2 linked regions of the Canis lupus familiaris genome follow. The main gene of each other region encodes a partner of the protein of the gene in region 2 in a complex. Links are inferred from orthologs where the notes say so. Each region holds a gene or a part of one and is shown on either strand. Other genes may lie near its edges.

Evidence for each region.
Region 1: the proteins of GNAI3 (region 2) and GRM4 are in contact, whole or in part, in a cryo-EM structure (PDB 8JD6), measured with the Homo sapiens proteins. The link is inferred for Canis lupus familiaris from reciprocal best matches to the Homo sapiens genes GNAI3 and GRM4. Residues at the interface, in NP_006487.1 of Homo sapiens: Ala31, Lys32, Val34, Lys192, Asp193, Leu194, Thr219, Phe336, Thr340, Ile343, Ile344, Asn347, Leu348, Cys351, Gly352, Leu353, Tyr354; in NP_000832.1 of Homo sapiens: Pro616, Lys619, Ala620, Gly622, Arg623, Glu624, Arg676, Ile677, Ile680, Phe681, Gln683, Gly684, Lys685, Arg686, Ser687, Val688, Ser689, Ala690, Ile694, Ser695, Pro696, Phe781.

Annotation. Positions count from the first base shown.
Region 1 is NC_049233.1:3,528,726-3,532,245, forward strand, and holds part of GRM4 (metabotropic glutamate receptor 4), read right to left. Parts: intron 2,983-3,520; coding exon of another isoform or gene 2,944-2,982; exon of another isoform or gene 2,586-2,943; coding exon 2,339-2,585; intron 1-2,338.
Region 2 is NC_049227.1:42,747,704-42,751,223, forward strand, and holds part of GNAI3 (guanine nucleotide-binding protein G(i) subunit alpha), read right to left. Parts: intron 2,762-3,520; coding exon 2,719-2,761; intron 2,606-2,718; coding exon 2,464-2,605; intron 1-2,463. UniProt on the Homo sapiens protein: Heterotrimeric guanine nucleotide-binding proteins (G proteins) function as transducers downstream of G protein-coupled receptors (GPCRs) in numerous signaling cascades.

The sequences.
Region 1 (3,520 bases), on a different chromosome or scaffold from region 2:
CCCCATAGCCCCCAGAGGGCTAATGCTCCACTCTGATGGGCCCTGGAGCAGAGCTCATTTGACAGACCCACTCCCGCACCAGCAGAATAAGGCATGACAGATGAATCCAGGAAGGATAAAGCTCCGTGGGAAAGAGGAAAACGGCAGTCAGGAGTGTGGGGTGGGGAGCAGTGAGGGATCCCTGCTTAGAACAGAAGGGTCTGCTTAGGGGCTGCATTTGGGGTCTCTGCAGATCTAGACACAAAAGGCCAGAAGAGGGGAGTCCTGGGAGGACCATGCCCCTTCCCATCTCAGAGTGGAAGGCCCAGGGGGCACCTGAAGGGAGTCCCAGGGCTGTAGGTTCCCAAGAAGCTGGTGGTCCGGGAGGAGGAGCAGGATTGAAGAGAACCAGAGGTCCTCTGGTAGAAGATGGGGCAGGGAAAAACACCTTGTCATCAGGATGTCAAAGAAGGGGGCATGTCAAAGCCATGTATCCTACTCCACACAGAGCATGGGACTCCAGAGATAGGGACGCCATGTGAAGTCGGGGTCAAAGGAGAGACAGTGTGGGGCCAGCCAGCCAGCCACCGCCTTGCTGTGTGACCTCAGGAGAGTCACTCATCCTCTCTGGGCCTCTGCCAGGGATCAAACCTCTAGCCCTATCCTGACCTCACAGGACAGCTGTGAAGATCACTCAACAAGGAGAGGCTTTGGGAGTGAAAAATTGTGTGTGGATGTAGGAAGTGACTTTCCTTCTTTCCACAGATGGCAGTCTCTCAACACGTGGGGGCCGTGCTAAGAAAGGAAGAGAAGATGCTTCCCTGGAGCCACAAGGCGGGGAGCCCATGAGAGGTGCTGCCTCAGCCAACACACACCAGGGAGGCCAGGTCTCCTGTTCTCCTGACCTCCTGGCAGGTGACCGTGGGCCTCCTCTCTGGAGCCTGTGTTCCAGACCCTCCTGTAGTCTAGCCCATGTCCTCCTGCTGCCATCAACAATGTCCATTTCTGGCCTTCTCCCCAGGACAAGACGGAAGAGCTGAGTGCTAACTCCCAGGTCCCGCTGATGGAAAGTCTGGGGCGAGGGGGTCTTCTCCTCCCTCCCCACCAATAAGAGCCCCCCAGGACTTTCAGAGAGCCGAGGAGGCAGGAGAAGCTGCCACTCAAACTATTTGGACACTTGGAGGATGTCCAGGGAGGGAGCCATGGTCTCAGTGGGGCGGGGATGACCACAGCCACCCCCACCAGAGCAGCTGGAAGTGAGGCCCATGGAGGTCCACCCCACAGGCAGGAGATCCCATGGCTCACCCCAGGGCAGAGGACTCCAACTCTTTGGAGGCGGTAGGGATACCACTGTGGCAGTCAAGTCCAGCCCCGCCACCTGCTGGCTGTACAACCCAGGTGAGTCCCTAACTTTGCTGAGCCTCCCTTTCCTCATCTGTGTTACACAGAGGATAAAAAATAACCTGCCTTCCAAGGTCGCTGTGAAGATGAACACTGGTACATGGTAGTGTGGGACACAGGGTTCAAGAGACAGTCGCCATTATTACTGGTGCCCCCGAGGTCTGATCTGTCCTTCACATGCCCTGCCCCTCTCTTTCTATCTCTTCTCCTCACACAGGGGAGGCTTCAGGGGGACCAGAGACGCTGGCAAAGATGGTAGTCTTGGTCCCTCCCATGCACATCCCTGCCCAGGCCTGGACCTTAGGCCTGCCCCTCAGATGCCGAGGACCCCCTCAAAGCATGACTCTCTACTACAGAGGTGTCCTTGGACAATCCCTTCAAACACCCTGCCACCTGAGAACTGAGGTGCCTGAAAGCCCTCCATCCAATCTACTCTTTCCCAGACCCATCCTGGGGACTGGCCTCCTGAGTCCCCATATCTCAGGGCCCTGATCAGGGATGGCCAGGCTGGCACCGGGCCTCCATGCCCAGGAAGCAGAGACCCTCCAGACAACCCCTTTTCCCAGAGGGACTGAAAAGGCACAGGCCCAGATGTGGGTACCAGGGCAGAGAAATCCCAGAGTCCCCTTTTACCCTTCATGAACCAGGTTCCCTTCATGGCCTTGCCCTTGGCGGACAGAGGTCCCTGGAGGGGTGCAGGGAGGGCTACGTGGGGTGGGACCCTGAGGTTCTCTCCAGGTTACCACGATGGGCGGGGCAGAGGGGCACTAACTTGGTGCCTCAAGGTTCTCCTGTAACTCCCACTCACCTGTGGCCTTAGGGCTCTCCCGAGACCCTGGAGGACTAGGCTCAGGAGGGGCATGGCCAGGTTCAGGTTGGAGGGGGAGGCTGGCCTTCTCCCAGAAGGAGGCGGGCCTGGGTGAGCCCTGAGGGGAAGGGGGCAGGGCCGGGCGCTCACCTGGCGTCTCGAGGTTCTCGCAGAGCTCAGACTTGGCCTCACCATTGGGCCGGAAGCTGCCCTTCTGTGTGAACTTGTTGGACATGGTGGCGGCGGTGACAACAGCTTTGAGGCTGCGCTTGCGCTTGGGCACATTCTGCTCCGGGTGGAAGAGGATGATGTAGACCTTGGGCATGTAGAGCATCCCCAGGGACACCGAGGCGCTCAGACTCACCGAGACCGTCAGCGTCGTGGTCTGGATGTACAGCTGGAGGCGGGCGGGGGTTGGTGTCAGAGAGGGCTCCGTCCAGGCCTCACCGCCCCCAGAGACAGGCACGGGGGGATGGACCCAGGAGCCCCGCGCTGGGTCCCACGGACTTGGGCAGAAGGGAGTCTGAAGGGAGTCGTGGTGGAGCTGGGACTTCAGACCAGAATCTCTGGATTCAAAGCCTGGCCCCACCACTTCCAGCCGTGTGATCCTGGGTGAGTCCCACCCTGTGCCTCCGTCTCCTCACCTGTCACCTGGGTGTGATGTTACAGTACTTACCTCATGACAGGACTTGGTAAATGGCGACCGTATGTACAAGGGCCGGCACATGGTAGGTGCCTGGGAATGCTGCTCGCTGCTACATGCAGATACTGGGGGTAGCGCCCCTGGAAGGGCCCTCGGGGGATCACAGGGCCAGGAGTGAGATGAGCGTCTGCTGGTGCCCTGGAGTAACTCCCAGTGGCCGTGCCACAGCCCCTCCACCAGGTCCCCATTCAGTGACTGCGCCTCCCACCGCCACCCTGTGCAGAGCCGGCCACTGGCACAGGAGCCACAGCGCCCAGCCAGATATGGCGATGGCAGCACAGTCAAAGCTCATTTCACGCTCGCGAGCCAGCACTAACGGTGACAGATGTTTAGCAAAATGAAAGTCCATTAATCTGGGTGTCGGATAATCCATTCTTCAATAGTGGGGCCTTCCAGGCAGGGCCTGACAATTCCCACTGCCCCCCCCCCGCCCCTCCCCGCCTCCTCCCTCCTTCCTAGTTCTCCAAGCCTCTGCTGTCCCTCCAGCACTCCTCCCCACCAGCCTGTGGGAGGTCAGAGGTAGCCAGGCTGTGGCCCCCAGGTCCAGGCATGGAGAGGGCAGGAAATGCTCAGCTTCCTAAATCTGCTGTTTCTAGGCCTGGGCCCCCTCCTGTGGGGCCTGGCTGAGG
Region 2 (3,520 bases):
TTGAAAAATTACACAAATTGGCAAACATACTCAATATTGAACATGTCCTTCTATGTCTAATGCTTTAACATGTGAAGACTTTACAGTCCATTCTGAAATTTGAACTATGCTCATACAGCTATTCAAAACCTCAATAAGCATTACATTTTACTAGTGCAATTCTAATTATAAAAACTTTAAAAGAGAGAGAGCTATTGCTACATATTTCTGCTGTCCTGCCTTTGTAAGGACAATTTTGAGCAGAATCACTTTCCCCTTACCACTTACATCTCCTCCACTGACCTACTCTTGCTTCTCCACAATAAACCCTCTTTAGGCCTTTAAGGAGGCCCCTCTTTACAATGAACTTCAAACCTCCACCTTTAAGCAGATATGAAAAAGCAACCTACCCCTCACCTGGCTCTATTCTTGTCCATTCACTCTCTAAACAGCCGTAAGAAACTAGATAAAGAGAAACTTCAAAAAATTACATAGGGTTGCAGATTAGGATGGGTAGATGGTGGAAAACTAAGTGATTCAGGAGGCCTAACAGGAATGAAGGAGATGTTGACCGCATCTGGTGACATAGGAGTGTTAGGACCCAAAGAGGAATGACACTCATTTGATAAAGGGAAGGAACGAAAGGAGAACAGATGCTGTGGTCTGAATGTTTGTGTCCTTCCAAAATTCATATGTTAAATTCCAATGCCCAAAGTCATAGTATTAGGTGATGGGGCTTTGGGGAAGTACAACTACAGTCATGAGGGTGGAGGTCCCATGAATGGAATTAGTGCTCTGATAAAAGGGACTCCAGAGAGCTCCTTTCTCCTGCCATGTGAGGACATAGTGAGAAGTCTGCAACTGAAGAGGACCCTCACCAGACTTCCCATCTGACCTCAGACTTCCTGCCTCCCGAAGTGTGCGCAATAAATGACTGTTGTTGATAAGCTACTAAGTCTGTGGTGTTTTGTTACAACAGGACAAAGACAGAAAATGTCAACTGTATTGGTGACAAAGTAGTGTGAGGACCCAAACATTAATAACAACCAATTTGACAAGGGAGAGACAAGAAGGGAGAGGTTCATCAAGAGATATAAAAGAAGACAGTGAAAAATTAAAAAGGAAGGAATGAAGAGAAGACATAAAGAACTGAGATGGAGAAAAAGCCAACAAAGTGAGGGAAAGGACTAAATACAGTAGCATCGACCAGTTATAACGGATCTGGCAAACAAAACAGACACGCAGAGCTGGGTGACAGGAAGGGATAAGAAAAGGGAAGAAAATAATACTGGGGGGGGGGGGGGGGGTAGTGGCCAGAGGGAAGAAAAGAAAAGCAGGAGGCAGAGAAGGGACAGAAAGATGTAAGACAAAAATGCATTGTTCATTCTTACATTCACAATCCCATTTTCCCCTCAGATGCTTAGAAAAAGTCTCAGGATGTTATGCTATGACATCTTTTGTTACAAAAACATAAAAGTTGTGCCTCACATATTTCCTTGTCCCCTCTTCTGCTACTCTTCTTTCCAGTCATTTTACAAACTTAGCCCAGCTCCTCTTCCCTTAGGTCCACTTCTAGTATCCCTAATCGAATACCAACCAATTACAACTATCCTTTAGTGATTTTTTCCCATCAACAATTTCTCCACTTATTTACTGAATATTAATTTGCATTTATAATAGCTTGTTAATGGATAAATCAAGAGCAGCTAAGAGTTCCTAAGCTACTTCACGGACACACAGGCTTTGCCTTTCCAGGCAGCCTCCCCAAGTCACCCCCTTTTGTTGTCTATAGCACTCTGAACACAGCTGATGAGTCCTTTAGTTCTAGGAAATCATTCTTAGGATCAGCGTTCTCTCAGTGCAACTAGATATAAAAGATCTCCTGCCTTCATTTTGGCCCTCTTCCCATTGCAGCAAACATCCTAATTCACAAATGAGAACTTCATGGTGCACCACGTATTATGATTCATCAACACAACTTTTGAGTATCTGACATGTGCAAGAATTGTCCTAGGACATGCAATAATCCAATTGTATAGGTTACAGTCCAACATAGTACAGTGATATAGTATTTTTGAATACCTAAAAATTGTACCTAAAATTTTGACTTAGCATTCATGTCCTTCTCAAGTCTGATATTTGCCTTTTATCTTTACGCCACAGAAAGCAGATCTACCTCTTTTAGATTATTTTAATTTACTAGTATTTACTACTTTAATAAAACAGTGCTATAAAGAAGCAAATAAAAAAGATCTGTCACAGAAACCTACAGTATATCCACACAATTACATTTCTTCAATTCTTCTTTCTGGTGGTAATCTAGTATCTCCTAAAGCAGATTGCTAATACTTTTCAAATGGGCACACAGTACTTTGCTCCATCTTATCTTGTTGCTTAAATTCATTTCCCTAAAACACGAAGAAAATTTTCCTTAACTGAATCTACTAAAAGAAAGCAAGTGAAGAGGAAATGAGAAACACTTACTGCTCTGGCAGCTTCCCCAAAGTCAATCTTTAGCCGTCCCATGGCTCTTATGATCGCAATGATGGACTGTATAGTATTGCTGTAGACAACTACTTTATATTGTTTACATTCTTCCTCTGAATAGCCATCCTCATGAATGATTCTTTAAAAAGAAAACCACAAATCATTACCACAGACCTAAAAAGAAAAAGATACTATGGGCTTTTGTGCATTATGAGGAACTGTAGTTTTACAAAAGGCCATGTTCCAACTTACTTCATCTGTTTCACAATGGTGCTTTTACCAGATTCTCCAGCACCTGAAAGAAAAGAAAATCAGACTTTGAATTCACCTGTAATCAAACACAAAGTATGAAATCAATGTGAGTGCTAATTCTAGATTAATGGAAACCAAGGTCCCAGGGAAAACTTAAGTGAGGCTATCTAGCAAGAAAAATTACTAAGCTTTGTTATCAGAGTTTTTCACTTTAGCGTAATTCAGCGACCAAATATAATTCCCTAAAAGTAGCCCAGACGCTACTTGATATCATTTGTGTCAAGCAGGCATACTTAAGGAGATATGGCAACATAAACACCTCTAGGAACTCATCCTCTACATGGAATACCATGATACAGAAACTGAACATAGGCAAAAATGAAATTATTTGTTCCTGGCCTATTTGCTTTTATTAATTCCTCTGTCAGTATCTTGTGGATCTGAGGAAATATTCCAAGAGTGATCCATCCTCTCAACCATGTGACTAGAATTCAAAATAGAAGCAGAGGAGGCGTCGTCCCCACTTTTTAACTATATATGCTCTCAGGACCACATTTCCCTTGTCTGTCAACTGGAATCACTTTAGTGGTCACCCATGTCAGATCAGCCCTCTAAGAATTCCTTAACATTTCACTGGCATTTCCTTAGTCAATTCCTTCTCCCACATTACAAGATGCCTATTTCACACCATTTCCTTTCTCTCTCAAACCTTACAAACTCCTTCGCACTTCTGACTTTCACCAGATCATCTTGCTTCTTTTATTGGAAAAATTAAAGCACTCAAAAAATGATCTCATTTTCC